4 linked regions of the Saccharomyces cerevisiae S288C genome follow. Changing the gene in region 4 together with the main gene of any one other region gives a genetic interaction. Each region holds a gene or a part of one and is shown on either strand. Other genes may lie near its edges.

Region 1 (7,702 bases), on a different chromosome or scaffold from region 4:
GTACTGCAGTGGTGGGAACTTCTGAGGCTTTATCGCAACCACTAATAAGAATTAAGTCCGCAATAGAAAACAACAATAGCTGGCAAATAATGGAAGCCCCATTATTTTCCCTGAGGACTATGGCTAAAGAAATTTCGTTGACTGAAAACACTATATTGCCAGAAATCATTAAAATCATTTGTAACCTTCCAGAGCAGGCCAAGATTAGGTATGCATCAACATTAGTTCTTGGTAGATATACCGAATGGACAGCCAAGCATCCAGAACTACTAGAAGTTCAATTGCAATATATTTTTAACGGTTTTCAACTGCATGAGGGTTCATCGGATATGCAAAGTATAATCACTGCATCATCACATGCATTAATGTTCTTCTGTTCGGACTGCTCTAAACTATTAGTTGGGTATATTGATCAGTTGATTAATTTCTTCCTCAACGTGCAGAGTTCGATTGATATTGAGTCACAATTTGAACTATGTCAAGGATTAAGTGCAGTAATAAATAATCAGCCAGAGGCCAAAGTTTCAGTAATATTTCAAAAGCTCGTAGATGATAATTTGCGACAAATCGAGGCTTTGATTCCTCAATGGAAAGCAAATCCAACGCTCTTGGCTCCACAGATTGCTGATAAGATTGATTTGCTATATGCGCTTTTTGAAGAATTGAAACCGAGATACAATTATCCTCAGCAAGGATCGGAACCTTTACTCCCCAGGATAGAATTTATTTGGAAGGCATTAAGAACTCTGCTAGTTGATGCAGGTGCAATGACTGATAGTATTATCGTAGAAAGAGTAGCTAAATTGCTACGCAGAATTTTTGAGAGATTTCATGTATTTTGCGAGCCAATATTACCTTCTGTTGCCGAATTTCTAATCCAAGGTTATTTAACGACTGGATTCGGTTCCTATCTGTGGTGTTCTGGTTCCCTTATTGTTATATTTGGTGACGATGAATCATTCCCCATATCCCCGAGTCTGAAAGATGCTGTCTGGAAATTTGCCCTCTCCCAATGCGAGACGTTCATACTGAATTTCAACAAGTTTGATAAACTTCAATTAAACGATTATCATGAGGCAATAATCGATTTTTTCTCATTAATTTCAGACTTGATAATGTTTTATCCTGGCGCATTTTTGAATTCAACAGAGCTTCTAGGCCCCGTACTGAATGTTGCCCTCGAGTGTGTTAATAAGCTTGATAACTACGATGCTTACATATGTATCTTGCGTTGCTTAGATGATATCATATCCTGGGGGTTCAAGACTCCACCGATCTCAACAGTGTCCATCGAGATTGTTCCAGATGAATGGAGGAAGCAAGTTATTAACGAAGTCGTGATAGCCCACGGTAACCAATTGATATTAGTGTTATTCATCGGGCTGGTTACTACTTTTGAAAACACCGCTCATTCAGATGCCATCAGTTGTATTGTAAAATGTTTAAGGATATTGACAGAGGCAAACAACAACGATGCCACTATTTGCATCGATTGGATTTACAAAGTGGTGGAACAACTTGGCCAAGTAACCCTTAATGAAAGAGATAATTTGGCGAAGGCCGTGGTTGAGGGGTTGAATTCAAAGGATTACAGAAAGGTGAGGGAAGGAATTAGGGCGTTTGTTGGATGGTATTCAAGAAAGAATATCAATTCGAGGTTTGAATAGTCATTTAATAAATAGCATATTGTTAATCTGCACAGAATGTATAAAAACAAAATAAACAATTTAATAAAGATAGAACTTAAAGGTAATTGAAGTAGAAAAAATTAAGTATTAAAATATTGTAATTAAATATAGAATTGTTAAGAAGAACAAGGAGAAATAGTGACATATGATAAACATCTCTTCACACATTCTGGTGACTCAATTTTCTGAGTACATCAGGATATGCCCTAAAAATCTCATCAAACCTATGAGGGTAAGAATGATGGAAGACCTCCGGGTCATTACCAAGAGCAACAAAGAAAGTTGCAGTACCGGATCTAATGGCTTCTGTTGCAATGTTGCAAATCTGTAAAGCAATAACAAATGAGAATGCCATTAGGGCGCCGTTGTAAGCGCCGTTCGAATTGTATTGAGGCGAGGTAAACCTTAGATACAAGAACGTGAACAAAGCGGTCATATAACTAGCAAACATTGAAAATAGACCCAGTGCAATGTTAATTAAATTATCATTGATTAGGGCGTCCATTCCCTTTTCTCTTAACATATACCAGGTTTCTTTGGCCGCTCTTAAATACGGTTTACCATAAAGAGCGATGAACGAGTATGCATAATGATTGAAATACTCGGCGAGCCACTTCAGAAAGCCGATAATCCAGTCAAACACCATAAACAAAATCTGGATGGCAATTTGACCGCCACCGCTGGAGGTAACATCGTGTCTGATCATTTGCAATATTTGTCTCAACAGGTCGATCAAAGCGACTAGCAAGGACCCAAAGCAAATGGAACCGAACGAGTAAGTCATGGCTCTCTTCAATGCTCCAAATGCGGGCCACCTTGGCATTCCTTGGTCAGACTTTGACATATAATACCAGCTGCCAAAGACGCCAGAAATAACACAATGTATGACGTTTCTTATTACTTCAGAGATATAATAGCCGCAGAAAAAAACCACAACCAAAACACCAATCAATTTGGAATGCGAACAGCTGCCACCAGAAACGTCACAGCCGCCATTCGAGCTATTAGGATCGTACTTTATGTACGTAGCCACAATGACTGCTGAGAAGAGAAACCCAAACGCACTAGCAACTAGCGCTCCAACAAATGAAACAAAGAAGATCTGTGGGCATTTCTTCATGGCATCGACGACGACTTTCAATACCGCCACAGAAAGGGGAATTCTAGACCTCATACCCCAGTAGCACCACGCGGTCATGAACGTGAAGACTAAAAACACAATACCTGCAGACCAGTACCTCAAAGACATGTACATGATGGCAGTCCCAAGAGAAGCCACTAGGTTGATGACCATACCGCAATATATAAACTGCTTCGGAAAAATTCGACAAAGTGTGAGGCCCAAAACGGAGAATACTAGGGCAATAATGCACACGAAAACTAGCAGGATGGCAGCATTGGTGTTCAGCGTACCAGTATTCACACCATCGTATATTCCGGAACCCGTACTGCTATAGGTTTGGGACCACGCTCTTAAGGTTATGGCAGCAATGGCGATGAATCCGCCTACCGTGCATAGGAAAAAAATGGTAAATGGCCAATCGTTCCACCTGGGCTTGTTGTCATTTTCAGTAGGAAAGGCCTCGTCGAAGCTCCCTATAGGAGCCCCACTCGTTTTGGAATTTAGATTGTAATATTGATCCTGTCTAAAATGGTACGGCGTCTGGCCATCGTTGACATTCGCCGCGGCAGAGTTCTCGGAAGAACTGGGCGGCCTATGGTTGGGATCATATGCTGGAGGAGGTTGCGGAGGCCTCTCGTATTTTTCATTCAATGGCATGACGTATTAATGTACCGATAATTATGGTCACTATTGATGGCCCTAATCGGAAATATGCACCTTCAAGTTTTTTATAATGCGCAATTAAAAAAAGTAAGAAAGGAATATAGAAGCATTCAATTGCTATGATTACCAATAAGTAGCGATTACGACTGAACTACATTCAACGAATATCCGCATATCAATATATATATAAGGGCAAGCTACGTATAAGGATATATATGTGATGATAATGTTATATATAGCTGGCAATTACGCCATTACGCAAACAGAAAACCCCTTAAACCCCTCAAGGATCTACCGAAGGAAGAATCCTGTTAGAAGGGAACATACCAACCACAAAAAAAAAGAAAAAAAAGCATTCTGCAGTAATTAGCCGTAGTGGACTTTGTTTTTCTTTCTGCAAATGGCCGTGCGGTGTCGGGCGGGGTCTCTCACTCAGTACCATTACGTGTGATAACTCCGCTGGCGAGGTGCGCCGCTCCCTGCAGGCTCTCCGAGAGGAAATCTCTTCGCGTATGCTTATCCTTCATCAAGACGTCTTGGTAAGGACAACATTGCTCTACAGGATGTCGCCGCGTATGTCGCTCGAAGGGTAGTGAATGGCTGCATGTAGTACATAATTTGCGAAAAACAGTGGGCTTGCCAAAATCTGCCTCAGGTGACAAGCCATTTTTCCAGTGGGATGATCTACTCGTGTGTAAGACATGTCGAAACGCACGCTGTTGCATGAAAAGTAGTCGTACGGTTGTATGTGTGGTGTACGGGTGTAAAAGTAGTCAAGCGTATGGCGGTAAGCAGCGATTCAGCAATTCTATATCTGAATAAAGTGAACTTTTGTACCATCTTTAGTAGCCAGTTGATTCATTTTTTTCTGTCAGGTGCGGCCCATCATCGAAGTGGGTTGATAATCTGGGTAATTATATAAACATTTTGATCATAAAAAAGAACTAAAAAAAGGCTTCAAAGTAGTCGCGCCGCGAGATTGCCTCGACTTAGCATTAATTGTCTTTGTAATCATCGAAAAGAGTGGAAAATTCAGATTGATTAATCAACTCTTCCCAGCCTGAGTTATAATTTGCCCAAAATTCATCTGTCAGCATCTGAATGATCTCTGATTGACTCTTTGCATGGTTCTTAGTTTCACCAGGCGAGGGTAACATTGGAATTATTGAGGGCGTGGGCGTTGGAACTGCAAGGCTGAGATCCCGCTGCCTATCACTCACAATTTTAGCTTCTGATGATGGATTATCGCTCTGCGGATCTAGTTCTTGTTTGATTTGTGCTAGCCATGTTTCCTCGGTCAACTTTCTGAATTCAATAACGTTGCCAAGAATAGTCCTATAGGTCCTTTCAATAGCTAGCTCTATCACAAATTGTGATGATCTATGCATTGTGCGTATTAATTCTTTATTTCCGACCGTGAACAAGCGATCGAAGATTGACGAGTACAAGCTCATTGCTGTACCTAAAGATAGATCCTTGTCTAAAGGAACAGTCAATTTCGTCAAATCCGACCATCCAACTTCCATATCGTTGGATAGACATAGTCCATTTTCGAAAAGCGTCAACTTAAAGTAGATCAGAGAACAAAAAAACACCAATGTTTTGGAAAAAAGCCCTGCCGTGAGGCTCATTGATAACGCCATATGTGGCGGTAAGTGCGGGTTGGAGGCTTCGAATTTCTCTGGGTAAAGTGCTTTGTCGATACGATAGCATCGAATTGTGGTATTCACAATGATGGAAAAATTGATCAAAACCAATTGAAACGTATTATTTTTGGATTCTATGTTTCTGACTTTCAGCACAGAATGTATTAGTGCATAAAACGACAATAATAGTCCGACTGCCATACTTAAAATTCTACTTTCCCTTAATGGAACTTCTTCCGATATATTTTCACCTGTGTAATGTCCAAGTGGACCAAGTTCTTCTTCTACAAAATTGATAATTCGCTTGGAATAAGCTTTCAAATCCGGGAATTTATCTCTATCATAAAGAGTTAACAACATTGGCCTTGTAAGTTTTAAATATCTTTTCAGCTTCCCCTCATATGTTTTACTTTTACTATTCAATATGCAATGATCTTGGTTTTCGTCTAGATAAAATTTGTTAATCAATAAGGGTCTACCAACGTTACAAGATATGTTATAATCGATAAATATTGCCATTAACCAGACATTTTCTAAACTTTCGATGCTACCCATAAAAACCTCATGTTCCTTGAAAGTTTCTCTAATGTTTAAATGCAACCCTATTGTAGTAACCGTAGTAACTAAACATTCATTTATATTAACCAAATCGGAGCCATCTCCACCGAATGAATATGTTTCACGATGGTAGTAGAAAAGTATTAACATTTGTGCACGCTCAATGTAGAACACCTTAGCGGTGGAGGCCCCCTTTAGTAAAGTAAAGAACTTCTCAATTGGGGTTGGGACATCTGTATGGAAGTATTTCAGACATAGGATTAATAGTATCACAGCAGCTTTGTAATAATTTTTCTTTGGATTGGATAAAATATAAACTATGGATCTGTCACCTTCCGCCTTTACCTCTTTTTCGGGCATGAAATAATCTAAAAAGTCTCTTCTAACTTTTGCCTTATCAAGAATCACGTTGATCTCATTGCATGCTCCATCATTAAAGAAATCATCTAAAATAGACAAAGCTTTGTTATATGATGGTAGGAAACGACATATCTGTTTGATTAATGGATCTGGCTGCCAATCCGACTCATCCAAAAGGCCTAGTTCCCTGCACATCGTTTTTTGGTTGTTTTGCTTCCATTTATTTCTTTCTACTTTAACCTTCGCCCATAATTGTTTATATTTTTCAATGAACCCCCAATTACTATTTGCAATTTGGGTTCTCATAGAAGTGGGGCCGTATAGTGTTGATCTTCCGGAATGTTTACTTTGTAGGTAGTACCGGTCGGCATATGGATTTATTACACCATCGGGTAATGGAGATGAAGTTTCAGTAGAACCTCTACCTACACTAGTGCCTAAAGGAGGGAAATTTGGCGAAGTGTACATGGAGCTCGCAGACGAATTAGTGTTTTTTTCAGCTTCTAGAATACGTATTTTGTTTTCTAGTTCTTCAACTTTCTTAAGTAAATCGGCGTTAGGATAGGGACCATAGGTAGCTTTCTTTTCGATGTTTTTGTTGAATTCTTCAGCATATTGACAGGTTGTTAAGTTTCTAGAAATGCATGTAGAACACATAGGTTTTTGCTGATCACAACGAAGTTTTCTCCTTCTGCAAAAGCCACAAGATTTTATAAGCTTGTTTCTCTTCTTACCGCTAGTAGAAGTTGGTGTTCCTGAGTTACTTCCATTGGCTCCACCGGCCGTACTATTACTATTATCGCTTGGCGGCGTAACGTTGGTGGCCTGGAAACTTCCCAACAAAGCATCGCTTCTTCTTTTCATTGTGACGCTATTCTTATTGGCACGGCTGAGGGCAATAAACTTTCCCACTTTCTCGTTGATCTTGTTGTTCCTTTGATCTAACTTTTCTCTTGTAATTCCGAATTTTTGGCGTTTTGGTAATTCCAAGGGGAAGTTGTCTATTACATACGTCTAGTGATGTGGAATACTATAAATGTCTTGGTATTGTTATCCTTTTCCCCGTATATCAGCCTCTACCCCATTAGTAATATGGCATGGAACCTTTTAACGTTTTTCTAATTTCCGCGGATTTAACTCCGTTCACTATGATTTCTGCCAGTATGATACTGGCAGAAATCTACATTCGCTATATATAAAGAGGATATACTGGTAATAACTACAGCTTCCATGTGAGCTTAAAACGATCATGCTCATCTTTCTTCATCTTGATAGAGATTGGTAATGCTGTCATACTCCCGTGATTATAAAGCAGAATGAGAAATATTGAGACAACCGTAAAAACAGCTACTGCCCAGAATTTAAACCTTCAAACTTCATCATCAGAAAGGTATACTGTGTAAATAATGCGTAAATAGTAGGAGCATGGTGTTCTCTTGTCGTTGAAAGAACATCTGCGGCGAGCACGTGCGGCTTAATTCTCAAACGTCTCGCGGAGGTAAATAGTGTAAAGGGAAGCCTCAACTTTAAGACATGAAATCACACTGAAATAACGCCTGAAAGGTCAGGAACAGTGAGTACGTAGGAGTATAAGAGCGTGGGGAAACACAAAATGGGCAAAACCGCGGATAATCATGGTCCAGTACGTTCTGAGACAGCACGTG
Region 2 (8,466 bases), on a different chromosome or scaffold from region 4:
TTAGAGTTTGGTAATGTTTTTGTCACCGCGTCCAGGGATAAAACTGTCAAAGTATGGAGGCACCAAAAGGAGCCAGCTGATGACTACGTTCTGGAAGCATCAATTAAACACACTAAAGCTGTCACTGCTATTTCCATACATGACAGCATGATAAGAGAGAAAATTTTGATATCGGTGGGTCTTGAAAACGGTGAGATTTATTTATACAGTTATACTTTGGGAAAGTTTGAGTTAATAACGCAGCTAAACGAGGATATAACACCAGCAGACAAAATTACAAGATTGAGGTGGTCACATTTAAAGAGAAACGGTAAATTATTTTTAGGTGTAGGAAGTAGTGATTTGTCCACCCGTATATACTCATTAGCATATGAATAGGCAATATCTATATCATTTCTCATGTGAAAAGAAGAGGATAATAAGTTAATGCCTTTATTTGGCATTATTATTTACAATTTTCGTGATTCTGTGTAAAGGAGTTGGAGTTTTTTTTTTTTTTACTAAGGTGCGATATCCCAAGTAGATAACCACTGCAAAGGTAAGTATTCCGCTTTATCACCATGCATACCCTGACATATTGGAGCAAATAAATTATAAATGTATATACATCCGCCAAACAATGACAAATAGATGGGATATTTGACCATCCAATGGACTCTTGTCAAAGTGAAATCAAGCACAAATCCGAAAACAAGCATTGCAAAATATAAAGCGGGAACGTAGTGATGTACATACGTCACTCTCCCCATCATTGCAAAAGGCAGATAATGTGTCATCCAGGAAATGAAAGGAAAAATACCCTGTATCGTTATTTGCCAGATTTGATCGTCTGAGAGATAAAGCGTTTGTCTCCTCCAACGATATAATATAAAAAGAATAATAAATGGGAAGATGATTAAGGAGACAGTAGAAATCCATGTATTGAAGGGAGATCCCATCAAGTAATATCGAGTGATATATCCCGCCCATGAACACATTCTTAGCCCTTTATGCAAGGTTGGCCATTCCCATGCATCAGACGATAAACTATCATATTTATCCTCATCAGGCACTAACGCGTTATTAGAGGAGGCCATGGCAAAATTAGTTAGAATAAAATCGGTCCAAAAATTGGATTTTGGTGGAACGTAATCTTCTGCGGTTTCTAAATTGTGGTTCCAGTGATCTTCTACATTCCACCAGGTCGATTTGTCCCTACGACTCCAGGAGTCTTTGCAGACGATTTCAGCTTGTTTAAATCCCCAAGCTGGATACGTCAATCCAGTAGAAGCCAAGTAACAACCTAAAACTTTGTGTCTCAACCTGAAGAAAGTAGAAACTGGATGTAAAATAGTTGAATTCTCATTAGAATAGACGGGATTTGGTGAATCCATTTGTTTCACAATCTCCACTATCCAATCATCCTTTTCATCGCCAACACTTTGTGACCCATAGCCTGAAACCTCATAATTTCCTCTAGAGACGTGAGAAGGTACATCATGCGAGTGAAGATTCGATCCTGTATTTTTATGGCTGAGACGAACTTCCACACCATCCGTTATTGGGATTATTTTGCCATTCAAAGTCCCGTTCTGATCTAGTTCCAATCCAGAAGACCTAGAAAATTCAAACTTCCAAACATTATTAGAGTCTGCGAATCCATATCCAGTGATTTGGCGCTGTCCAGAGCCTTCTGGGTATACTTGAATATGTGAATGCAGCAGATTCGGGCTTAAACCATGCGACCTTATGGTTAACTCTGACCCAAATGCTACATCACGAGGACCCGCCTCAATCTGAGTTCCCTCCAAGTTTATCTGAAATAACGTATTTGTAGTAGAATCCCCCGTGCCAGATTTGTACAACAACACAAAGTGAATTTTGAAGCAATAGAGATAGATAAGAAAAGGAATTACTATCAGATTAATGATTCTGATAAGCCAATGTTTGTAATATTTTATTCTAGGCAATTCTTTATCACAATAGAGCAAAAATAGTTCTATACATGTGTAGAGGCCGACTACAACTGTGATAAAAAGACCAACCCATTTCACAGAACAAACGCAACCAATAGATAAACCAGTTAATAACATCCATAACGACCATTTTTTCGTCATTTGTTGCTTTCTCAACGTATACAACTTTATCATACAGGCAAAAGTCGTCATCGAGAAAAAAAGCAGCATTGAATCTAGCAATATGAATTTTGAGAGGACAATATATGAATGTTCCAACGTTACCATCGTAGCAATCAAATAAACAGTAAAATAATTGAACCCCATCCATTTGGCTGTAAAGAAAGCTACTGGTGTACATAGAGCTCCAAATGTGGCATTAAATTGTCTCATTAGTTTAAAGTTTACGTTTTCCGGATATGCATTATTAGAGGAAAAGTCAAATTGACCGTCAAATCCTGCCATCCATTCGCTCAATGCAATAAGCATTTTACCAAGTGGAGGGTGGACATCGTGGTAGTACTCATGTTTGATGTAGTATGATCCGAATTTCCCAAAATGAGCCTCATCCCAGACAACATAATTGTTCTGATCTATATGTTGGAATCTTAGATAAAACGAAGTTATAGTTAATAAAAGGGGACCTATGACATCCCTTAAAATTTTCAACGCAGTGTATTCTTCATTTTTTTTTGTCCTATGTTTTTCTTCTAGTTGCTCAAAGCAATCTAATTGTTCATCTTGAATATCGGAGGCATTAGCTTTTGGTTGATTAACATAACGTTCGCGTAAGTTTTCATCTTCAGTATCAATTGATGAAAATCCCGTTCCCTTGGCTTTACTCATTGGTAAATAATAAGAAAAACAGTATGTTAGGACTATCGTTTGGTATATTAAACTGCCAAGAGAAGATAATTTAAAGAATTGTTTCAACGCGAAACGTGACTATAGCTAATGCTCTTTTCAAATTATTGAACTTATTACATTTATAAAAACGGGTAACCTAATAACGTCAAGTATATGGGCAAAACCGTTATTGAAGAGAAGATGTTCCATTGTTCATCAAATTAATATAAATCAATGAATAATATAATACAACTAGATTGAATTACATCTTTATGCTTTCTATGAGTATCTTTACACCAGAATATACTTGCGCCCATATGTATATATGTGTGTGTATATATCAGAAGAATTATCGTTAGTAATTGCAATACCTTAGGGAGCGAATGGGATTCAACTCTTGGTATTTAATACATTTTAGCAAAGAGTTTTTGTACTCGTCATCTTGATATTTCTCGTAAATGAGGGACAAATACCACCAAACTTCTGGGGAATAGTAAGCCTCGATCGATTCTAGTATTGCGCACTCCAATAGAAATTTTAGTCTTGCATACGCTGCTGACCTATCTGTGTCATTAACGAACGTAAGTTTGGCCCTCTTACCTGGTTTTTTATCAAGGCTGAGAGTATAATAACGCTCAAGATTAGTTTCCTCGACGCCTAGTTCTTCAGGGAAAATTAATTCAGCGAATCCGACCAAGGCATCTAAATTATTCTCATCATAGTACAGAACTGTTTCAAATTCCTTTAATGCCACGCCTGGTTCATCTTTTATTATTGATAAATAACCGTTAGCAATATTACAATTTAAATTCTTGAATTTACTTTCGACATTGGAGGCTTCTTTGATGGCGGCCTTGGCATCCTCATCATTGTCTTTTGTTCTCATGTACATATTTGCAGCAAAAATCCACACCATTTGTAAAAGATATTCTTTAGTTTGAGAATATTTGGGACCCATGCTGTTCAATTCAGGTTGTGAATCTGGAAATAATGTTGCGTATAATTCAAAGACCTCTGGAAGTGTCTCCAGTGCCTCTAAAGTGCCAAAAATTTCTTCAATTAGCGCCAATTGCGTTAATTTTAGGTGAATAAATTGCCATCTATCATTCAGAAGTAAAGTATTGTTCTGAAGACTTTCATTCATAGCTTCTAGAACAGAGCAAACTATCTTGTACGACATTTCCTTATCCTCTTGCACAGACCTACAAAGAGCTAATAGATGCCAAGCTTTGTAGTAATTTGGGTTTTTACTTAATATCAATGATTCTAGAGTCTTGATTGCAGTTTCAATGTGCCTCTGTTGTGCTAGAGTGTAAGAATATTTAAATTGTAATTCACGTAATGCCTTCTCCTCCTCTCCTTCTTCCTGCTCTTCTACATCAGCATTGTCTTTTTCTTTTGTGGACAGCATCATTGCATTACATAGATATGAAGTCAAATTATTAGATACAAGAAAATCTAACTGATATTTTCTGATTTCGTACAATGTTGACCACGCATTTGTTAGAACTTTCGAAATGTTTCCTGGGTATACACATCTGGTGCTGTTTTCTAGCCAATCTAAAGATTCTGATTGGCTCATTAATGGCAAATTATATTCTTTGTAGAAGGAATTCAAGGAAGTCGCAAACGTAGATACCGTATTATCGTAATCAAAAACATTTTCGATTGAATCGGTTTTGGAGGAGTTTTGTAAAATAAAAGAATACGCATCAATGAATGAAATTATGTCACGGTGGGAGTTATCGTGCAGTTGATAGTACTTGTCGTTGTATTTCACAAAATTAACAAAATTTAGTATAGATTCTCTTTTAAATGTCTTCTTCTTTATTTCGTCATTACTGTTATCGCTTAGGTTTTGGAAAAGAAACATTGCTGTTTTCGAAACTTCAATACTTTGAAAAGTCTTTTCCATTGAAGATATTATGAAATTATACCAACTGGGATTCACTTTTATTTTTTTTATGTGAGTGAATTTGAAATAATACTGCAAAAAGACATTAAAATGCTCCAAAGCTTCATCATTTGTCTCACTAGCAGTAGGAAATTTGGCCTTCAACAAAACGTTCTGTCCGAACTTCAAATAAAGATCATCATTATCAATGTGCTTTTTGAGAGGTGACTGGAACTTCTTTATCATGTAAAGGAAAAGAATAAAAGGATTTTCGACGGTAGTTTTAAAATTTTCTGCTAAATCCTGAATTTGATTGAACCTGAGTTTTGCGACGATCAAGCTGATGTATTCGAAAAGAAGACCGTTTGATTCGGGAGGGATCGTATCCACGTGGGCCAGTAGTTCTTTGTAAAAAACATTTTGCATGATATTTATGTCTTGCGAAACTAGACCACGGTAGTACAGGTTTTCTACGATCAAATACCTATCATACTGCTCCATAAGTGCTGTTTTTTGCGATGCAGTGTTATTATGAATTTTCAACGAGTGCAGCAAGCACCGCTGCGATTCCTGAAATTGGCCCCTGTGGAAGAAAAGAATACCGAGGCAATTGAACAGAATTTTCTCCACTAGTTTTGTAATCTCCGGATAGTCATTCAACTCCTCCATCATACTCATATTCTTTTCTAAATTTTGACTTTCCTTCAGTAAAACATCACAAACTGGTTTTGCAGGCCCATTCGATCCAATAACATGGTAATGTAGTCTAAACTGTAAGTTAAGTACGGAATCTAAACTATCAAACCCTGAATTGAAGGTGCTGCCACCTAAGAGTCGCGCTCTTAGCGCTTGGTCGACCACATCTATTATCTTCGATGGAACAGTAGGAGGAATCCGAACATTTGAGTTAGGCATTGGGCAAGTTGGTATTGAACTTCTTTCCAGCTGGCGTGTTCAACTTGTTCCTTCCAGTATGCCACACATTATGCCTTGCACACCTAAAGCACATATTTTCGTTATTTTTCACCACAATAGGTGGATCTCGAAAAGGATGGAAAATCAGGAAAAAGAAATGTTGAGAAAAAAATAAACCGATTCCCGTTTAGTTTTCTCCTATTTCCGTGTATATGCGTGGTTATTCGTTTTCGAATCCTTTTATGAATGTCCGAGGAGGTGGTACAATCCGAAATAGACTAAAGAAAAGCGAAAGCCGTGAGTTTGTTTGATGATAGATGACTCGCAGCTTTGTCATCAACGGGCCACCCTATTCGAAGAAGGGAATGGAAAACGGACTGGCGTAGTCAATAAGCGTCTTCATATCTTAGCATTGTTGAGAGATACATAGTGTACTCCATATCGTTCTTTTTTTTTGTATATATCAAGCCACATATCCTGTTTCTTTAATCTTTTATACGCCGTAAGAATCGGGTACTGACATAAGTGTAAGTAGCCGTACAGAGAACAAATATGACTAAATCGGTTGGTGATGAAGAGTCACAGTACATTGAGGACCCTAGTTTTGCAGCAGCAGCTGCATTTACTGGCGGCAGGGACGGGGTTTCGTACAGTAATCAGCGATTTGCTGAGGGTTCCGGCCATTCTTCTGACTTAGCAAAGTCATTAGAAGACTATCGGCCTCCTGATGAAAAGCCGTCCTCATTGTCATCTGTGGGGGAAGGTGGCGCTAATGAGGAAGAGAAGGGCGGTAACGACGGCGGTCCCTTGGCAAGAATTCAAACAGGGCTTTTTTCTCCAAGACTGCGAAATCATAGGAAAAAGATTCTCTCGAAGTTTGTTTTGAACAACTTCTTCATTGCTTGTGTGTGTGTATCGCTCATATCGATTTACTGGGGTGCCTGTTACGGAACAGATCGTTACTTTTTCAAAGTGAAAAATATTGTTGTATTGCAGGATGCGCCATCTAATACTTCAGTTCAATCTATTTCCGCGATCATACCCTCATTGTTAGCGTCTGTCCCCGGGACATGGCATATATACAACGCAACATCATTTCATAGGAAATTTGGTACGACGAACTCCACCGAAATTGACAGAAAGATAGTCGATTTAATTTACGATGAGAGATACTGGCTGGCGTTAAACGTTAAACCTAATGCTACAGACACTTTGTATAATTCTTTGATTAGCCAAGACGCAAACTCGGAGTTCAATTCATCAATTTTTTTTGAATCCGTGTTTGAAAGTGGTCGTGACCCATCGAGTGTTAAATCGACCATTCTACCACTCATGCAACAATTGGAGGTCCGCCTTCAGAAATATTACGTCAAGGAATATCTTCCCTCATTGATGAGCAACATCACTTCTAATGACAGAGATCTTAATATAAACATGGAGAACTGGGCGATTGCAGGACAGTTGTTGTTCACCTACAACGATTATCGTCCCTTTGCTGATCGTATTCTAATGGCCCCTCTGCAGGTCGGTCTGATTTATTGTATTTTGTTAACCGTTTTACAACTGTCATTATATGGTAAGTTGCACGGAGAAATGGCCAGAGTTCTGAAGCCAAAGCATATTTTAATCTACAGGCTTCTAATTTCCTGGGCAACTTATTTTCTTCTTTCCATTGGATTCTGTACCGTATCTGCAATTTTTAGGATCGATTTCACCCCCGCCTTTGGCAGAGGAGGATTCGTAGTATATTGGATGTCTACGTGGTTGGTAATGATGGCTGTTGGTGGTGCCAATGAAAACGTTCTCAGCTTAGTTATAGCTTACTGCCCTCCATACCTGAGTATTTGGTTGATGACGTGGATCATATTAAATATTTCTGCTTCATTCTACCCAATGGTTTTGAACAACGAATTTTACAGGTACGGCTACATAATGCCAATCCATAATGCCGTGGATATCTATAAAGTGATTTTTTTGAATTTAACCAAAAGAAAAATGGGAAGAAATTACGGTATTCTCGTGGCATGGGTTGCCCTCAATACATCCTTGATGCCATTTTGTATGAAGTTTGCAGGTAAAAAAATGCAAAAAAATGCTATGCAAGCAGCAGAAGCCGCTGTCGCAGCAGCTACCCAGCGTGCTAGCCGCCCGGCAGAGGCCAATACTGATAAAAATAACAACCCGCCCGGAAATTAATGGGTAGGGTTAATAGCTTATTCATATATACACTTAATACGATTAAAAATTATTTATATTCTCATCATCATAAGATGAAGATGCAAATATCACAACAATTATATAACGTCGTTTGTTTGTTTGGTGACACATTAGTGTTTCATTCCGGGTAGCTATTTTGTTTTTCTCATGCCAAGAATTCTGTAAGGCACTTAAAAGTATTCCTAAATACCACTTTCATACATGGTTAACAAGGTAAACACAAAACTTGCATTATAGTTAAAAGGGACTGTTTGATCATTACCCTTTTTCTGGAAAGCGGATATTTATTATGAGCACTGAACAGGTCGGTAGAAAGAAATCGTATAGATGGGTTAGCGCATCTCAAGCAAGTTATGACGGCGCTGGATGGGACAGTAGTGACGAATATGACTACTCTTCCGAGGATGGCACAAAAGGTTCAGAAATTCACAAGCAAAAAATATCTAATTTGCCTAGTTTACCCAAGCTCAATTATACAGATGTTAATGGTGAGCATGATGAAAATACGGGTGAAAATAAAGACAGCAATGATAATAACGTCAGTAAGAGTGATATTAGTCCTAGTGACAAGGAAGTAGGCTATCTCTCAGATGGGGTGCCTAAACTTATGGCTTCAAGAGAGTCTGTGGAATTACAAGCGAAAAAATCCAGCGAGCACTC
Region 3 (8,557 bases), on a different chromosome or scaffold from region 4:
AATTAGTGGGAGCTAGTTTTCCAGATGTGGTCAGATATGTAGTCTTGGCAGGTGTATTGAGAGTTCGATAAGCTAAACATATAATGTTTTTTTTATTTCAAATCTGCAAAAAGGGTATGTAGAAGAGTCGATTACCTTGTATTCTTTGCAGTATTTAAACAATTAGATGTTCGAGTGTATCTATGTGTTATAGTTCTGAAGAAAAAAAAAAAAAAAAAAAAGAAAAAGAAACGACGAGTCAAGAAAAGAAAAGAAAAAGGAGGGGCATGAAAAAAGAAATTGACCGAATAATCTAATGAACGTTGGATAGTTAAGTGTCTTACGAGAGAGCCTTATATATCATGTCATCGCCTTTTTTTTCCGCGAGAGGTGATAAGTGAAATCGCAACTATTTACTCATCATGAGGTAATGCGATGCGATGATGAGTCAAACACCCTTCCACGGGAAGCGCCAGCCGGCGCCCTCGGTAAAGCCTGCACTTAACGGCCCCTCGCTGTTTCTTGTACTTAGCGTCACGCGCTATGGAAATATGCGGTGCACAGGTGTTTTTATAGGGGGGTGATGGATTACATCATACACGACGGCCGGGAACACAGCTGAAAATAACTGTGAATGCGGCAGTGGCACCCACTACGAGAAGCAGACACCACAGTCCACGCTTACGTAGAAGCTGCCGAGTAAATGGGTGCTCTATGCGGGTAAGACGGCGCCTACCGCCGAACACCGCAAGTATCATTGGCACGTGATCGGTATCACTAGAAGCATCTCCTTCGTCATTGCCAGCGTTTTTGTGTCTGTGGAGAAGTCTCTGTGTGACGCCAAACCAGGAATACACAATGTCCACTTGATACATGCCACACACAATGCAGTAGCATCCCAGTGTAAATGGCACGACCGTAACGACACGGATTGCGCGACTATACGCCAGGAAGATTAGAACATATCCGATCCAAAAGCCGATGCCTAGCCAGAGCAAACCAAAGCCAATACGACTGATTGACGTGTGATTGGAGAATGGCGAGCGAGAAATGTGCGTCTGGCCTCGAGAGCGATTGCTTTTTTCGTTGGTGACGCCCACTGAGTGGAATCTCCAATCAGATATTTCATCGTGGATGTTGTGTAGTGCGACGCGGCTTAGAAATTTTGGGAAACAATCCATTTCTAGGAATTGGTAAGTTAGGTTTTTTAGGTCGTCAAAAATCTCAATGTCGTACTTTCGCTCGATTTGTACGCTTTCTATTATGCGGTTCCGCGTTTCCATGGGGATGTTGCTCAGGTACCGTTCGCTTTGTTCGGGCGATACTAAATAGGTGTTGCAGAGACCAACTGCGCTGTGCAGCAGTTGTTTTGTAGTTATCTGCGGTTTTCCGTCTTGTTGGGAGCGCCTTTTCATTATCTCGTCGACGATCAGCGCTACGTCTTCGTTTCTCAGGGCTTCTTGACCGATACCCGATTGGTGCTTCCAATCACCCAGCAATTCGTTTAATTTTGGTGAAAAGGGCACGTCTGGGCCGCTATTTTCTAAGAGTTTATCAGGTGCTTCCGGGTCTAGGTGCCCTTCTTCTATCAGTGCGTTCAGCAAGTCAAATGTAGCCGTAGATGTACTTCCATTCTGCTGTTGTTCTTGTGGAAAGTTGATTAATGATTTTCTTACCAACTCTATGTAGTTTTTGCAAAGTCGTGTATGTGTCATAAGGTCAACCCAAAAGTCCAGATAGTTGATGGCATATGGGAATTGTGAAAGAAATGTATAAAAAGTCCAGAGATCAACTGGCTGCGATGTCCTCTGTATTAACACTTCATACAATGTTGGCAATCGTTCACGCTGGATCATCTCGAAATTTTGCATACTGCTCACTTTGCTGAGCTCTTCCTTCATGATGAATGGGACGCTCTTGAACTTTCTTTTTGGCAGAAATTGTTAGAGGTCGTTGTGCACAATGAATTTCCCGTATGTGTTTTATTGATATTTTCGTTTTGCCCGCATTCTCGAAACACGAATATTTTTCCTCGAATGGCGGCGGGCGGCGAAGTTACATAACCAGCATTGCTCTGTATTAATGTATGCTGGGTTTTCTTTAAAGTGACCCAAGAGTTTGACACAACGTTGAAGCGTATCGCCAATTTTTTTTGGATTATATATACGTATTAATGTCTTTTTATCGTATTTATGCATCGTAGCATCCAATGGTGCAAGTAGTGAAGAAATTGAGCAAATTCTCCTGCACCAAGTTGAGAACAGTTTCTGGATATCTTGACGAGATTTCATTCGAAACTTTGGTCAGACTCATATCTTGAATAACCACACTTAAACAATCAAGTAAACTTATGGAAAATTCCGTATACCAACGGTGGTTCCAGCAGCATATCTTCACGCAAAGGTCGATAATGCTATTGTCTAGCTCTCTTATGCGTGAGCTTACTATTTCAGGGACCATGTCATGCGAATTAGGTGAGTTTATAAAATTTTTGACCCGTTGGCGTTCGTTTATACAATATTCCAGCAGTTTCCTCGCGCACCTTGATGAAAATCTCTGCGATAAACCGTTCTGGAAGGCCTTGGCGGCCTCAGGGAAATGGCCCAGTCGACGTGCACAAAGGCCAAATAACTCCCATTCGAAAGTCAACTTATTGTGGTTGTTATTCTGTGCATCCATGTACAGTTGTTCGGTTTGCCATAATGTATACATCTTCAGGTCTTCATATAAAAGCATGAAGAGGTTGTCTAACCATCGTTCACACAGCCGTTTAGCCCTCAGAGGCTGTTCTTCTTGTTTGTTAACGTCCTTTGGTAACGAAGATGATGATTTTTGGTACTCTTCTTCCATAACGAAAATGTTTGATCTGTACTTTAACAGATTTTCCCAGCCGGTGATCTGCACAATTTCTGTCAATAATCGGTATGCCAATTGGAAAGTAGATTTCAAGTTCGACGCAGCTAAATTGACCAGCATTGGATCCGCAGAGCGGTGTTCATTCTGAACGTCTTGTGGATTCAACGACGTCACTTCATCCAGTACAACGTCAATTGGCAATGGCAAATGAAGACTATTATTCGAAGGCAACGGAGCTACTCTTTTCAGTACGTATTTTTCCTTTAATGGAGACATAGGGCATGAATTCAGTATCAGTAAGGCATTTTCAATATCATTTAGCTTTACATACACCTTGGATAAAAGATACCAAGGTCTAAATTCACTGGGAGAACAATTGACTGCCTCTTGCGCTATGTTTTGCGCCAAGCTGTAATCCTGCCTTTTGTCTATCAAAAATTGCGCTTGTAAGCACAGTAATTCAGATTTATAATCCATGCGGTTATTAGTGTTGTTTATTATTTTATCCTGCGAAAGCATATCGTATGTGAGCTTTATTGCGTCTAATTCTTGATCACACACCAAAAAGATCTTGATTAGTATTATGATCGCCTCAGGGTTGTCGGTAGCCAGATTCTTCAACATTATTTCCGCCCTGCTAACATTACGAGTCAGCTTAACTATCTCAACGAGTGTTTCTACCAAATAGTTATTAGTGTTCGTCACATTGGTAATATAATACGGAGCTCCCAATAATGGGCCCTTATGGTAAACTATAGGGAACAGATCAATGAACATTTCTGGTACATCGTCGATTTGTCCTGCAGTAAACGGGTTCAAAATCAAGGTTTCCACTAAATTTTGTAATTCTCCCTCTTCAGCGTTTTCCTTCATTAACATGATTGACCGTACTACGCCACTTACGAACGTTTCAGCCCAAATTAAGTCATAATCCGCACACATCTCTATATTTTGACTTTCACCGTTGCAATCCACTATAAAGTTCTGAATCGATCCTGGAATATGAACGACGACATTTATGTCGCATCTCCTGAACGCATTCCAAGTGGAAAATGAAATTCGAGCAACATTGAAGGTTTTCTTCCTGCCAAACCAAACTTGGGGTTTCTCGCTGATGACCTCTGAAATCTCCTTCAAAAAAATTGCGATTGAAGTTGGACCGGATGTATCGACACCCATTGAGTAAAAAAATGTCCCTACTTCGTCCTTCAGTTTATCAAGTGGATGGAGCTCAGCGACCATCGGGGCTCCATCATTGGCATTTCTGCTGCTACTGTATATAGATGCATTTGTATAATTTGTGGTAACGGCGGTGTCACTAGCATCGCCATTGGTTGCCATGGAAGCGGCAGAGTCATCGGCTACAACGGCTGCAGGGGACTGAATAATGGCCGCACCATTTCTACTCGTACTGTTTATGGCATTTGTGTTACTTGAAGTGGGCAAATACTTTGTTAGTGTGACCAAGTCTGCCGGCCCTAAGTCTTGAAACTGCGGTAACCGAATTCTTCTCTCATGTAAAGCATAACCAATAAAATCTTCTTTTACCTCTGGTATAGAATTCTGCGTAATCATCTGAGGGAAGCTCTTCTTCCTTAGTTCTTTATTTTTTTGCGCTCACTCCCTTCTCAAACACTTCAACTTAATAACAGCACTATTTATGGAAAAAAAATCTTAAAATAATTAAAACGCCATTGCCTCGAGGCTAAGCTTACGCCCTCTTGCTATATTTGCATACGTTTTTCAGATCCTTCTTCTATTCCTGGCTCAGGTACCAGGTACCGAAAAAGGTGAAGAAAAAAGGACTTGGAATGTGTTCACGTGACGCTATCGACACCCGCATGACAGAATCTTAAGGCAATGCTCGCAACTTTCTTCCAAGATGCGTGAAAATGCTTATAAGTCTTACTAAGCTATCAAGACATACTGAATTTGGGTCACTACGTCTCATTTATCGAACACTGATGAAAAGATGGTAGGCCTGATACTTGGCCCAAATGTACGCCAGTCAACTTTGCATTGGAGGGTAATAGAAGCAAGGATTCTGTTACCCTGACTATGTTACCCTGATTGTATTACCCGACCAAGAGAACCACGTAGAACGTCATGGAACAATTCCTGGAAATAATCGATCACCATCGTTGCCTCTTTCATGAACGGGCGCCCCTTGACGGTGGTGGTATATATTAGGTAGCTGGAAAGGCGCCTGTCGCTTAACCAATAATAGTTTCATGTGTTAGGGAAGGTTGAATCTACGCTTCCATAACTGTAAAAGCTAATAAGCTAGAAAACAAAAAAGTTAACGAGCAAAATCGTAAAGAAAAATGTCTGACTGGGATACAAATACTATTATTGGTAGCAGAGCAAGAGCTGGTGGTTCTGGCCCAAGGGCCAACGTTGCCAGATCTCAAGGCCAAATTAATGCTGCAAGAAGACAGGGGTTGGTTGTTTCCGTTGACAAGAAGTACGGATCAACCAATACGAGGGGTGACAACGAGGGTCAGAGGTTGACCAAGGTCGACCGTGAGACAGATATTGTCAAACCCAAGAAATTGGATCCAAATGTCGGTAGGGCCATCTCGCGTGCCAGAACAGACAAGAAAATGTCGCAGAAGGATTTGGCAACCAAAATTAACGAAAAGCCAACCGTGGTAAACGATTATGAAGCCGCTAGAGCTATTCCAAACCAACAAGTTTTGTCTAAGTTGGAAAGAGCCTTAGGCGTTAAATTGAGAGGTAACAACATCGGTTCGCCTTTGGGAGCTCCAAAGAAGAAATGAAGAGGTCTTCTTTCATTTGTTCCTTTCTTTTCGCACTGCATGTCATCAATGAAGCATTCTTAATAATGTACATTATTCTATCATGATCGTTTTATGGTTTTTTTCGTTTATTTTATCATTTTTTTTTTTTTTTAGCTTTTTTTCCTCTATAGAAAGTGAAGTACACACGTATATATTATGATTCAGGATCTTTATTTGGTCTCAATTTTAATATTTTTTTGCAAGGACTCGATTAATCTATCTTTTTCTATCCACCTATTTTCAAGCCACTTTTCTAAACTCTCATCATTGTATGCGAGTAATGGTTGAATTTGATGCTTTTTTACATTTACCATCACAACAATGGGGTCCTTATCCTTTATGTTGTTTTCAGACTCCATTTCTGGTTGAATCATCTCAAAGATTGTCGGAGATATTTGCTCTAATTGATAACCTTTATGAAGTCTCAAATCTCCGTTGGTATGATCATGCCCACTATCAGTATATTTGACTCGGTAATAAATTATGGTGACATCATATATGTATGGATTGATTCGTACCACCTTGGGCTTGCCGCTGCTGATTTCTTCCTTTTTTGTAAGTAAGTATGAATTATCTACGATCATGGGCGGCGTCGTCTTATCGGATACCTTGGAAGACTCCATTTTCATGCTCTTGTGAACTAATTTGTCAAGTTCTCTGTGAAACAGGTATCGGGCCTCTTTGATTATATTGTTACGGTTTTTCTTTCTTTTGATGTTTTTAATTGATGAAAAAGCAGCCATCAAAGTGGTAAAGTTTTTAAATCTTGGGTATAATAAATTATAGAAGTTTATAACAAAGGGAAAATCTTGGTGTAATTTTCTTTGAATAATTGATAGTTCCAAACTCATGATATTGACTTCGGGAAAAATAGTAATAGCTTGATTGTTTTGTCTTTCTAAAATATCTCTTAACTCATTCGATGAGAGTGCGAGTGTTTCATCTTTGAAGAATATGTTCTTTAGTAGATCCAATCGAGGAAAGTTAAACATTTTTCCCCAACCAAGAAATTTTAACTGAGGCCATTCAGCTAGATCTTCCCCCTTCCTCAGCTTTTGTAGAAATTCCCATTTAGTATAAAACTTGGTGGGACAACTTTTGAGAAAAAGGTAATTAATCAATGTGTAGTCATTCACTGATCGATGATTACATATCATTAATGTGGTTTGGAATTTGCTATCTTTAAAAAAGTTTAGGTCATCACTTCCCTCGGTTATGAAAATTTGGACGTTTTTTTTTTTTTCGAAGGTCATTTCAACTAAATGTAGCTGAAACCAAATTTCAATCGCCTCCAGCACCTTGTCTAAAGTTGGTATTATTTTCAGTTTACTATATGTCAGTGCCCTCGAGAGCAGCCGAATTTTGTACTCACCTATTATGGGCACATGCGACCAAAATCTGTCATATAGTAAATGCAGTCTAAGACAGAAGGAATTCGTGTTAATGAACTGTAGGAATTGATTGATTGCAGTAAAAAAAGAATGAAGGTAAAAATAGCCAAAAAGAATAAGCAACCTTGGGGTCAGACTCAACCAATCAGAAATATCTAACTGTTTGAACTGGACCCTAGAACCGACCATATATGTTTCGAAGAAATCAACAAAACCCATCTTAAAGTTATACCTTTCGTTTAGTTTTCTGTGTGGAAAAGAGAAATTTTATTTGATTAAGATTAACAATGAATCTATTATGGTGCATATCTTGCCCTGTTAACTTTCAATTTTTCATTTTGTGTCGCTACATGCCTTGTTGACACTCGGTTTTTTTGAAAAACAAACCATTCTCGCAAAAGATCGGATAAAAATGAAAACTTCCAGACAGTGGAATGCACACATTAATTAACGGTGATGCGAGGTGCAACAACTGAGTAATTTAATACCTTTGGTAATGCTATTGTTTCCTGGCTTGAAGCCTGTTCTTAATGCTTCCACTGTCATTGTAAATCCTGTACGAGCTGTTTTTCCAGGATTAGTACTTTCAACCAAAAGATCCTTTTATAGCATTAATCGTTTAAATGCTGAAAATAAAATAAACGATATTGCAAATACGTCAAAAGAGGCATCCTCTTCAGTGCAGATGTTTAAGCCCCCAGAGTTCTCTCAATTTAAGGACTCTTATCAAAAAGACTATGAGAGAATAGCAAAATATACTTTGATTCCATTAACAATGGTACCTTTTTATGCCTCCTTTACCGGCGGGGTTATAAATCCTTTACTCGATGCGTCTTTATCGTCCATTTTTTTGATATATTTACAGTATGGCTTCACAAGTTGTATTATTGACTATATACCGAAGGAAAAGTATCCAAGATGGCATAAGCTCGCCCTTTATTGCCTCTATGGAGGATCCATGTTGTCCCTGTACGGTATCTACGAATTGGAAACGAAAAATAATGGTTTTGTTGACCTGGTAAAGAAACTTTGGAATGAAAATGATGACCATTTGTATATATTTGGAAGAAACTGACTCACCCATACTTTTTCTTTTTTTTTGCATTTCTAAGATTTCATTTTTAGAGTCAGATTCCCCATGAACTTAACTTAGGAGAGATTTTATAAAAAGACAAATAAGCAATAAAATATATCCTTCTTCTCGAAATCCAGATATATATGTATATATCGATCTGCTTGGATTGGTACAAGACGATCAATTCTTGTCGAGTGAAACGCCTAGGGATACAGAAAGGAAAAGTAGGAATTCGTGATTGCTAGTATTCTCATTCTGTCTAAAGTGCCTTTTTTATTATTATCTGTATGCTTTTTGTTTCTTTAATGATGAGGAACGAATTTTTATACTACAAAAAAATAATGTTTACAATTTTTATCAATGTATTGAAACATTTTAATATTTGTTAGGATTCGCCTTTATTTCACAATCAAAAGGAAACACATAAAAAAAGTGTCATGCTCTACGTGAATAAA
Region 4 (8,158 bases):
AATAAAGAGGAAAATAATATCAAGTGCTGGAAACTTTTTCTCTTGGAATTTTTGCAACATCAAGTCATAGTCAATTGAATTGACCCAATTTCACATTTAAGATTTTTTTTTTTTCATCCGACATACATCTGTACACTAGGAAGCCCTGTTTTTCTGAAGCAGCTTCAAATATATATATTTTTTACATATTTATTATGATTCAATGAACAATCTAATTAAATCGAAAACAAGAACCGAAACGCGAATAAATAATTTATTTAGATGGTGACAAGTGTATAAGTCCTCATCGGGACAGCTACGATTTCTCTTTCGGTTTTGGCTGAGCTACTGGTTGCTGTGACGCAGCGGCATTAGCGCGGCGTTATGAGCTACCCTCGTGGCCTGAAAGATGGCGGGAATAAAGCGGAACTAAAAATTACTGACTGAGCCATATTGAGGTCAATTTGTCAACTCGTCAAGTCACGTTTGGTGGACGGCCCCTTTCCAACGAATCGTATATACTAACATGCGCGCGCTTCCTATATACACATATACATATATATATATATATATATGTGTGCGTGTATGTGTACACCTGTATTTAATTTCCTTACTCGCGGGTTTTTCTTTTTTCTCAATTCTTGGCTTCCTCTTTCTCGAGTATATAATTTTTCAGGTAAAATTTAGTACGATAGTAAAATACTTCTCGAACTCGTCACATATACGTGTACATAATGTCTGAACCAGCTCAAAAGAAACAAAAGGTTGCTAACAACTCTCTAGAACAATTGAAAGCCTCCGGCACTGTCGTTGTTGCCGACACTGGTGATTTCGGCTCTATTGCCAAGTTTCAACCTCAAGACTCCACAACTAACCCATCATTGATCTTGGCTGCTGCCAAGCAACCAACTTACGCCAAGTTGATCGATGTTGCCGTGGAATACGGTAAGAAGCATGGTAAGACCACCGAAGAACAAGTCGAAAATGCTGTGGACAGATTGTTAGTCGAATTCGGTAAGGAGATCTTAAAGATTGTTCCAGGCAGAGTCTCCACCGAAGTTGATGCTAGATTGTCTTTTGACACTCAAGCTACCATTGAAAAGGCTAGACATATCATTAAATTGTTTGAACAAGAAGGTGTCTCCAAGGAAAGAGTCCTTATTAAAATTGCTTCCACTTGGGAAGGTATTCAAGCTGCCAAAGAATTGGAAGAAAAGGACGGTATCCACTGTAATTTGACTCTATTATTCTCCTTCGTTCAAGCAGTTGCCTGTGCCGAGGCCCAAGTTACTTTGATTTCCCCATTTGTTGGTAGAATTCTAGACTGGTACAAATCCAGCACTGGTAAAGATTACAAGGGTGAAGCCGACCCAGGTGTTATTTCCGTCAAGAAAATCTACAACTACTACAAGAAGTACGGTTACAAGACTATTGTTATGGGTGCTTCTTTCAGAAGCACTGACGAAATCAAAAACTTGGCTGGTGTTGACTATCTAACAATTTCTCCAGCTTTATTGGACAAGTTGATGAACAGTACTGAACCTTTCCCAAGAGTTTTGGACCCTGTCTCCGCTAAGAAGGAAGCCGGCGACAAGATTTCTTACATCAGCGACGAATCTAAATTCAGATTCGACTTGAATGAAGACGCTATGGCCACTGAAAAATTGTCCGAAGGTATCAGAAAATTCTCTGCCGATATTGTTACTCTATTCGACTTGATTGAAAAGAAAGTTACCGCTTAAGGAAGTATCTCGGAAATATTAATTTAGGCCATGTCCTTATGCACGTTTCTTTTGATACTTACGGGTACATGTACACAAGTATATCTATATATATAAATTAATGAAAATCCCCTATTTATATATATGACTTTAACGAGACAGAACAGTTTTTTATTTTTTATCCTATTTGATGAATGATACAGTTTCTTATTCACGTGTTATACCCACACCAAATCCAATAGCAATACCGGCCATCACAATCACTGTTTCGGCAGCCCCTAAGATCAGACAAAACATCCGGAACCACCTTAAATCAACGTCCCATATGAATCCTTGCAGCAAAGCCGCTCGGTGTTCTTTATTCATAAGCAACCTCATTAATCTATAGTCTGAAACTAATTTCCTTCTTGAGCTGCAGCCAATAATAAAAAATAATGGCGGCACTATACTACAACATAGGAGGATCACAATGATGTTTTCGATGCTGTAAACGTCCCTGAATCCATTTTGACCTGAATCAAACGAATGAATGGAAGCGGTATCGATATGTTGAATTGGCATTCTCGCCTCCAGGTCTATATTTTCAGCATCGTGCCTGTCTTCTTTCCTATTATCAGTTTTTTCTTGTTGCTTTCGTCGTATGCTTCGAGCTGGCTTTTCTATAATGGAGTTCTGTCCCGTGTCTGACTCCGAGCTTTGAGATTTAATTGGAGCTAGCACGAGGGGTTGTCCATGTTCTGGCAACGTTTTATTTTTCTTCTTGTTCATCTTGGTCAATGGAGAGGGCGTCTTGTGTCCTTCATAGCGTGAAAATGGATCAGACTTAGTTGAATTTCCAGATTCTAAGCGTAAAGGTGTCTTCGTCCATTTGCTTGGTCCGGACACACTTCTTAATACGGGAATTGAAGGTAGTCCAATTGGTGGACCTTCTTCTTCTAGGGATGTGGAGGGCTTGCGCGTAGATTTTGAACTGAATTTTTCTTCATTATTATGCCCTATATGGTCTTTAGGAGAACTTTCGTTACTACTGTCACTATTGTGTGAAGGAATCAATATGTTACCAATTAACGATGGACTCTGAGGAATTTTAATCTTCCTTGCCGACGTACCTGGCGCACCTGGCGAATGCGAATCATCACTTGTCGACGACTTTATTGATCCAGCCTTCTCTGGAATTTTTAGTTTGTGCGGTATAAATTTTGATTCATTCACAGGTTCGTATTGATCTATGACTTCATCCTCGGTCTCGCCTTCACCTTTACTGCCAGTTGAGCTTATAAAATTAACATTAGAAGTTTTATTCTTCGTTAGCCTCACTGCCTCTTCAACATCTGGTTCTAAGGTGTCATCGTAATGGTATGAGAAAAATGAGTGTTCCGTTGTTTCATTAGGTTCAATTGAGGTAGGACGTGGAGGTGTTCCATTCTTTGACTCGTCGTTCCCGCGATTCGCCAAAGATGAGTATAATGAAGATACGACCCTACTATGCTCTTGCTCTATAGGGCTTCCTTCAACATCTTCTCCCATAAGAACTGAAGTTGATATTGTCAGTGCGCAACTTAATCTCTGCGAAGATGGTGAATTCACTGCTCTTTCTGGCCGTACCGCCGCGTTTTGTGAAGGAGTTACGTTCCTTAACGGTACGGTATCCTCGTTGTCTCGTCGAAGTGAAGTTGGCCTTACAGTAGTGTTGCTTGGTATATTATTATCTTGGGTATCGTGAAATTGTGTAATAGAGGACGAGTTGCTACTAGAGCTAGAGCTTGTGGATGCTCCCATTATTTGAGAAAACCTTTCATTGTTGATGTATACAGCAAATCCTTGACCTCTACTTGTGGTTTCATAGGCAACAGTAGCCATCTCTGTCTCCGCATCGGGGTTCCCATGTGCTCCATTAAGATTTTCAAAAAACAAGGATGTTCTTAGTTGTAGTCTGGATGATACAGAGGAAGTACCACTATATGAAGTTGATGCTGTCGTTTCAGAAGAGTCCAAATTATCTTCGTCTGATTGTATCATACTTCATGTAGAATCGAAAAAATTCTCAAGTAGAAAGAGGATATTGGGTATTGTCAAAAATGCTTCGATTCAAGAAAGAAACTCCTAGAGTTAAGAGAAAGTTATAGTCTAAATTGAATTAAAATAAGCGAATGTAATTGGATTTATTATCTTATCAAAAGAATGAAAAGTATACCGGTAATCGCCTAGAAATAAAAATCGTCAATAATGAATATTAAAAAAGCAATTGAATGGTCTTTCTTTTGTTAACTAGAAGTTCGAACAAAACAGAGGTCGCGACTGGAAAGCTTCCAGTTGTTTTTGGATATCTTTATTATTTTCCTTCCTAAACCAATTGCCTGTTCTTAGTATGGGGTATTGATAATTGATGGAAGGTGATTGAAAATTATAATGAATTTTGCAGGTATCGCTTACGCGCAATAAAAAAACACACCACAATGAACTTAATCCTACTCTTATTAGCGTCAGGACTATCCGGTTTGGCCTCTCTAGTAAGCGGATGAGTAAATCATTTTCTAATTGTTTTTTTATTCTCTCTTTTGGATCATTTTTCGCAATGTTTACCTTTTTCGGAGGAGAGAGGCTTCCCTTATGAAAAAAAAAAAAATGGAAAACTTAAAAATCACATTGCGTTTCGAGGCATTCTTCAATCAGTTGATAGGGGAAGGGAATTTGCTGCAATCATTAAATTCGTTTCCGAAAAGTCTGGCTAAATGGTAGACGATGTATGCAATATTTTACCATATATAGAAATCATATACAAGACACAAGACGAGAGCGGAGGAAGGGTAAGGAAGTAAAGAGAAAAATATCTATGCTTTTAAACTGTAGTATCTATACATTCCACGCTCAATGCACCCAAAAACTTGATATTCGTTGACTATTTCAAAATGTAATCTATATCTTTGAGTCGTCAGAGGATCCTTTGGATCATAGACAAATTCATCGGGATGCGTGAAATAATAATTCTTACGCTTGTGAAGGTGGTTGAAGTGGGAGAAGGATAGAAACGATGCCGAGGACGAGTGTTCACCAGTTAAACTTGGTCTTGTTTTATTTCCTGAACGTGAGCGCGAACTTTCAAATAAGTGAAGTTGGGACCTTCTCCGTTGCAAGTCGGGATCGTGCAAATATTCGTCGTCAGTCTCTTCAAAGTTTGCGATTGTTCTTAGTTCCTGCTGCTCATCAGCTAACTCCTGAATTCTTTGTTCTTGCAATGATAGCTCACGTAAATCATGGACCGACCTATCCCAGTACAAACCATCCCTGATTTGAGATGCAGGAGAAACATTGATAGCAAAGGGGTTGGCAGAGGAAGAACCATTGTTGCTTCTTAAAGTGGGTCTGCTCAACAGAGAATTCCTTCTTGGGATGGCATTCACGTGATTTTGGCTATCTTCCACATGACTGTTGTTGTCGTCCTCATTATGGATGATTCTCCACCCACCACGAGGTAATGTTGGGGTAATTATTGGTAGTGGAGTATCACCAAGGCTGATCGCACCTTTTCTATTTAAGAATTGAGAAACTGGTGGCTTTAAATCTCTGTAACATAGTTTACGTCTAATACCACTTTGAGGAACTAGACCACATCCAAGCATGATTTTACTTTGGGCAAACTTTAGGAAATCCGGCTGGTTTATAATTTCTATGATTTTGTGACCCTCAAAATCATACCTAGTTAAATTTGACTTAGAATCCAAGTCATCACGATTCAGGAAAGGATCAGTCTTATATAACCAATATCTCCTACCATAAGAAGAATCAATGTAACATTTCCACTTTACTTGTTCTGCTGTTGAAATATCTTTAATTACCGAATTTGGGTTTTTATATCTGTATGCAATAATTTCATGTCTATCATTTAGTTTTTCAATCTGTTGCCACGAGTCAAAGGAAACTTCTAACGCGACTAAACTTGGAGAACAAGTGTACAATAATGAGTCCTGAATAGTCCATTTATTCACATAAGAGTTACCAGAAATATTCAAAAACTTCAATTTTTGAGCACAATTAGGATGGTCTTGATCAATTGGTGTCAAAAATTCTACGAGCGTAGATATCGGGATACTATTACCTTTTATACTCAAACTTTTTAACTTCGGAAAATTCCACTTTATGAACTGTAAGCTATCGCGGCATTGGTAATAATAAGTGGATTCGCTAATAGGGTCCTCGCCGAAAGAAGGTGCAACATGAAGCGGTAAACCGCCGATATTTAGATATTGCAAAGTTTTGTTATGGCCATGTTGACAAAGTTTTTTTAGTAAAAACATTGTGTGCACCTCATTCCAAGATGAGGAATGGGCAATGACACTAACATTCAGCCATTCTAATGTAGAAGTGTTGTCAGGGTCTGTAATTGTTGGGTGATGACTAAAAAACTCCAGAACCGCTCTTGGAGTAACTTGAAGACAAGTAGCGAGGGAAAGATGAGTTAAATTTTTCCAGTGAGGTATGCCGTGATATAAGGTACTATCATCAATGGAGGTATGAGATAAATCAAGTTTTTGTAGTTCTGGTAACATTTTTAAGATCTTCCAAAGGACGTGTGATGGTAGATCAATACAATCATTTAGGCCTAAGCAGGTAATCTGATAATTTTGTTGAATAGGTTCCAGCCGGTACTGATCAATCGATTTATTAGGGTAGTATTTATCCAGGGCCTTAATAAAACTTTCTGTGAAAGTGGTGCCTGAACAGCCACAGAAATCCACTACACTCAAGACTTTTCCTGGAGATAGAATATACTTTATGATATTATCGTCTAAATCGTCTTGAATATTTTCACATGCTAAGAATTCCCTTAAGTTTGCTTTTGTGAGCATTAGAAACTCAAGAAGAGTTTCGTTAGTTAGATTTTTAATCATTTTATTCATCTCACTGGACCTCCCCAGTCCAATAGACGTTAATTCTTGGAAATCGGCTACTTCAATCTTATTGCAAAGGCATCTATTTCCCTTTAAAGTCTGTAAAAGACCGTGAAATCTCTTTGCGGTAGTTAAATTACAATATCTATAAATGAGAACTTGACAAATATGGGAGAATGTCTTATTAACAGTTAAATTACTTTTGACAAATGTAGTTAAGTTTTCGTTAAACTTTTCTGCCGTACCTGGATGGTCATTTCTTAACAAATCCCTAAACTGGTATGTAAGTATTTGGTACACAATTTCTGGAGGAATAGCCGCTCCCAAAGATTGGCTTGACAAGGTCTTGGACTTCAAATCTGGCATTTGGCTTCTTCCGACTCTGTTGTTTCCTATTGTTTCTAATAGGGTACGTACTGCCACGTATTTAATGAGCTGAATAAGATCACAGTTTTAGTATTGCCCCAACCTTATAAGCGCTAGTTAGATATAAAAGGATAAGGGTAGCAATATAAATACAACTTAGTTGGTGGTAAGAGTAATGTCTACAACTTTTAAGAATTGTCGGATCACTACTTCATCAGATGAGGAGGGGAGGGTACACCAAATTCCACCTCTAATTCAATGAGCCATGTGAAATAGCGCGGGTAACATACCTCCGTGAGGCATCCTTTTATTTGACTCTAATGGGGAATTGTACAAATTGGCTTCAAGAATTGAGTAAACGGGGAAGGAATAGTACAAAGTTGGTGCCATAGTACGTGTGATGGAAAAAAACTATCGCTGAACAGGAACTTAAGTAGCTACAGCGGCTATTTTATACGCTCGAACGCACAAATTGATAAAAAAAAATTCTTGACTGTAGACTGTGTATTGATAAAACAAATCCACGAGCTGAAGGTAACACAATTGACATGCAAAGCACAAGGCCACTAATTTGGAATCGTCCCGCTCTGCTTTCTGAAACCATGCGGGCCTTATCAATGCACAGATACGTCATCAGGTACGAACACGATATTAAAATTATCAATAATGTTGTATGATATCTTGCTAACTTAATTTGATTCTTGTAAAAACACAGCTTTTGTAGTAGCAGGAGGGCGTGAAGATCGCCAGTATGAGTGCTTCGAAGATTCTTTCACAAAAAATTAAAGTTGCGTTGGTCCAACTGTCAGGCTCGAGTCCTGACAAAATGGCCAATCTTCAAAGGGCTGCAACGTTCATTGAAAGGGCTATGAAGGAACAGCCGGATACCAAGTTGGTCGTATTGCCAGAATGCTTCAATTCTCCGTACTCCACTGATCAGTTTAGAAAGTATTCAGAAGTTATCAATCCGAAAGAGCCTTCGACGTCAGTTCAATTTCTGTCTAATTTAGCCAATAAGTTTAAAATCATCTTGGTAGGAGGAACAATTCCGGAATTGGATCCAAAGACAGACAAAATCTACAACACCTCTATAATTTTCAACGAGGATGGCAAGTTGATTGACAAGCATCGGAAGGTCCATCTTTTCGATGTAGACATTCCTAACGGTATATCGTTCCATGAAAGTGAAACCTTGAGCCCTGG

Evidence for each region.
Region 1: mutations in BUD8 (region 4) and PNS1 together harm fitness more than expected from each alone (negative genetic interaction), as found in Saccharomyces cerevisiae (2 studies listed by BioGRID).
Region 2: mutations in BUD8 (region 4) and PMT6 together harm fitness more than expected from each alone (negative genetic interaction), as found in Saccharomyces cerevisiae (2 studies listed by BioGRID).
Region 3: of BUD8 (region 4) and BUD7, changing one enhances a phenotype caused by changing the other (phenotypic enhancement), as found in Saccharomyces cerevisiae (one study listed by BioGRID).

Annotation. Positions count from the first base shown.
Region 1 is NC_001147.6:635,091-642,792, forward strand, and holds PNS1 (Pns1p), read right to left. Parts: upstream 3,469-7,702; coding exon 1,849-3,468; downstream 1-1,848. Other genes in the region: mRNA transport regulator MTR10, read left to right, coding at 1-1,667; YOR161C-C (uncharacterized protein), read right to left, coding at 4,031-4,177; YRR1 (Yrr1p), read right to left, coding at 4,470-6,902; polyphosphatase DDP1, read left to right, coding at 7,651-7,702. UniProt on the Saccharomyces cerevisiae protein: Probably involved in transport through the plasma membrane.
Region 2 is NC_001139.9:891,816-900,281, reverse strand, and holds PMT6 (dolichyl-phosphate-mannose-protein mannosyltransferase PMT6), read right to left. Parts: upstream 2,781-8,466; coding exon 501-2,780; downstream 1-500. Other genes in the region: Elongator subunit ELP2, read left to right, coding at 1-378; YPP1 (Ypp1p), read right to left, coding at 3,136-5,589; SNG1 (Sng1p), read left to right, coding at 6,142-7,785; FYV8 (Fyv8p), read left to right, coding at 8,096-8,466. UniProt on the Saccharomyces cerevisiae protein: Protein O-mannosyltransferase involved in O-glycosylation which is essential for cell wall rigidity. Transfers mannose from Dol-P-mannose to Ser or Thr residues on proteins.
Region 3 is NC_001147.6:874,288-882,844, reverse strand, and holds BUD7 (exomer complex subunit), read right to left. Parts: upstream 4,411-8,557; coding exon 2,170-4,410; downstream 1-2,169. Other genes in the region: YOR302W (uncharacterized protein), read right to left, coding at 3-80; RAX1 (Rax1p), read right to left, coding at 573-1,880; MBF1 (multiprotein-bridging factor 1), read left to right, coding at 5,160-5,615; MUM3 (Mum3p), read right to left, coding at 5,807-7,246; TIM18 (Tim18p), read left to right, coding at 7,524-8,102. UniProt on the Saccharomyces cerevisiae protein: Member of the CHS5-ARF1P-binding proteins (CHAPS) which mediates export of specific cargo proteins, including chitin synthase CHS3. May be involved in positioning the proximal bud pole signal.
Region 4 is NC_001144.5:829,913-838,070, reverse strand, and holds BUD8 (Bud8p), read right to left. Parts: upstream 3,720-8,158; coding exon 1,908-3,719; downstream 1-1,907. Other genes in the region: ILV5 (ketol-acid reductoisomerase), read left to right, coding at 1-5; sedoheptulose-7-phosphate:D-glyceraldehyde-3-phosphate transaldolase TAL1, read left to right, coding at 714-1,721; LUG1 (Lug1p), read right to left, coding at 4,532-6,955; NIT3 (putative hydrolase), read left to right, coding at 7,707-8,158. UniProt on the Saccharomyces cerevisiae protein: Involved in positioning the distal bud pole signal.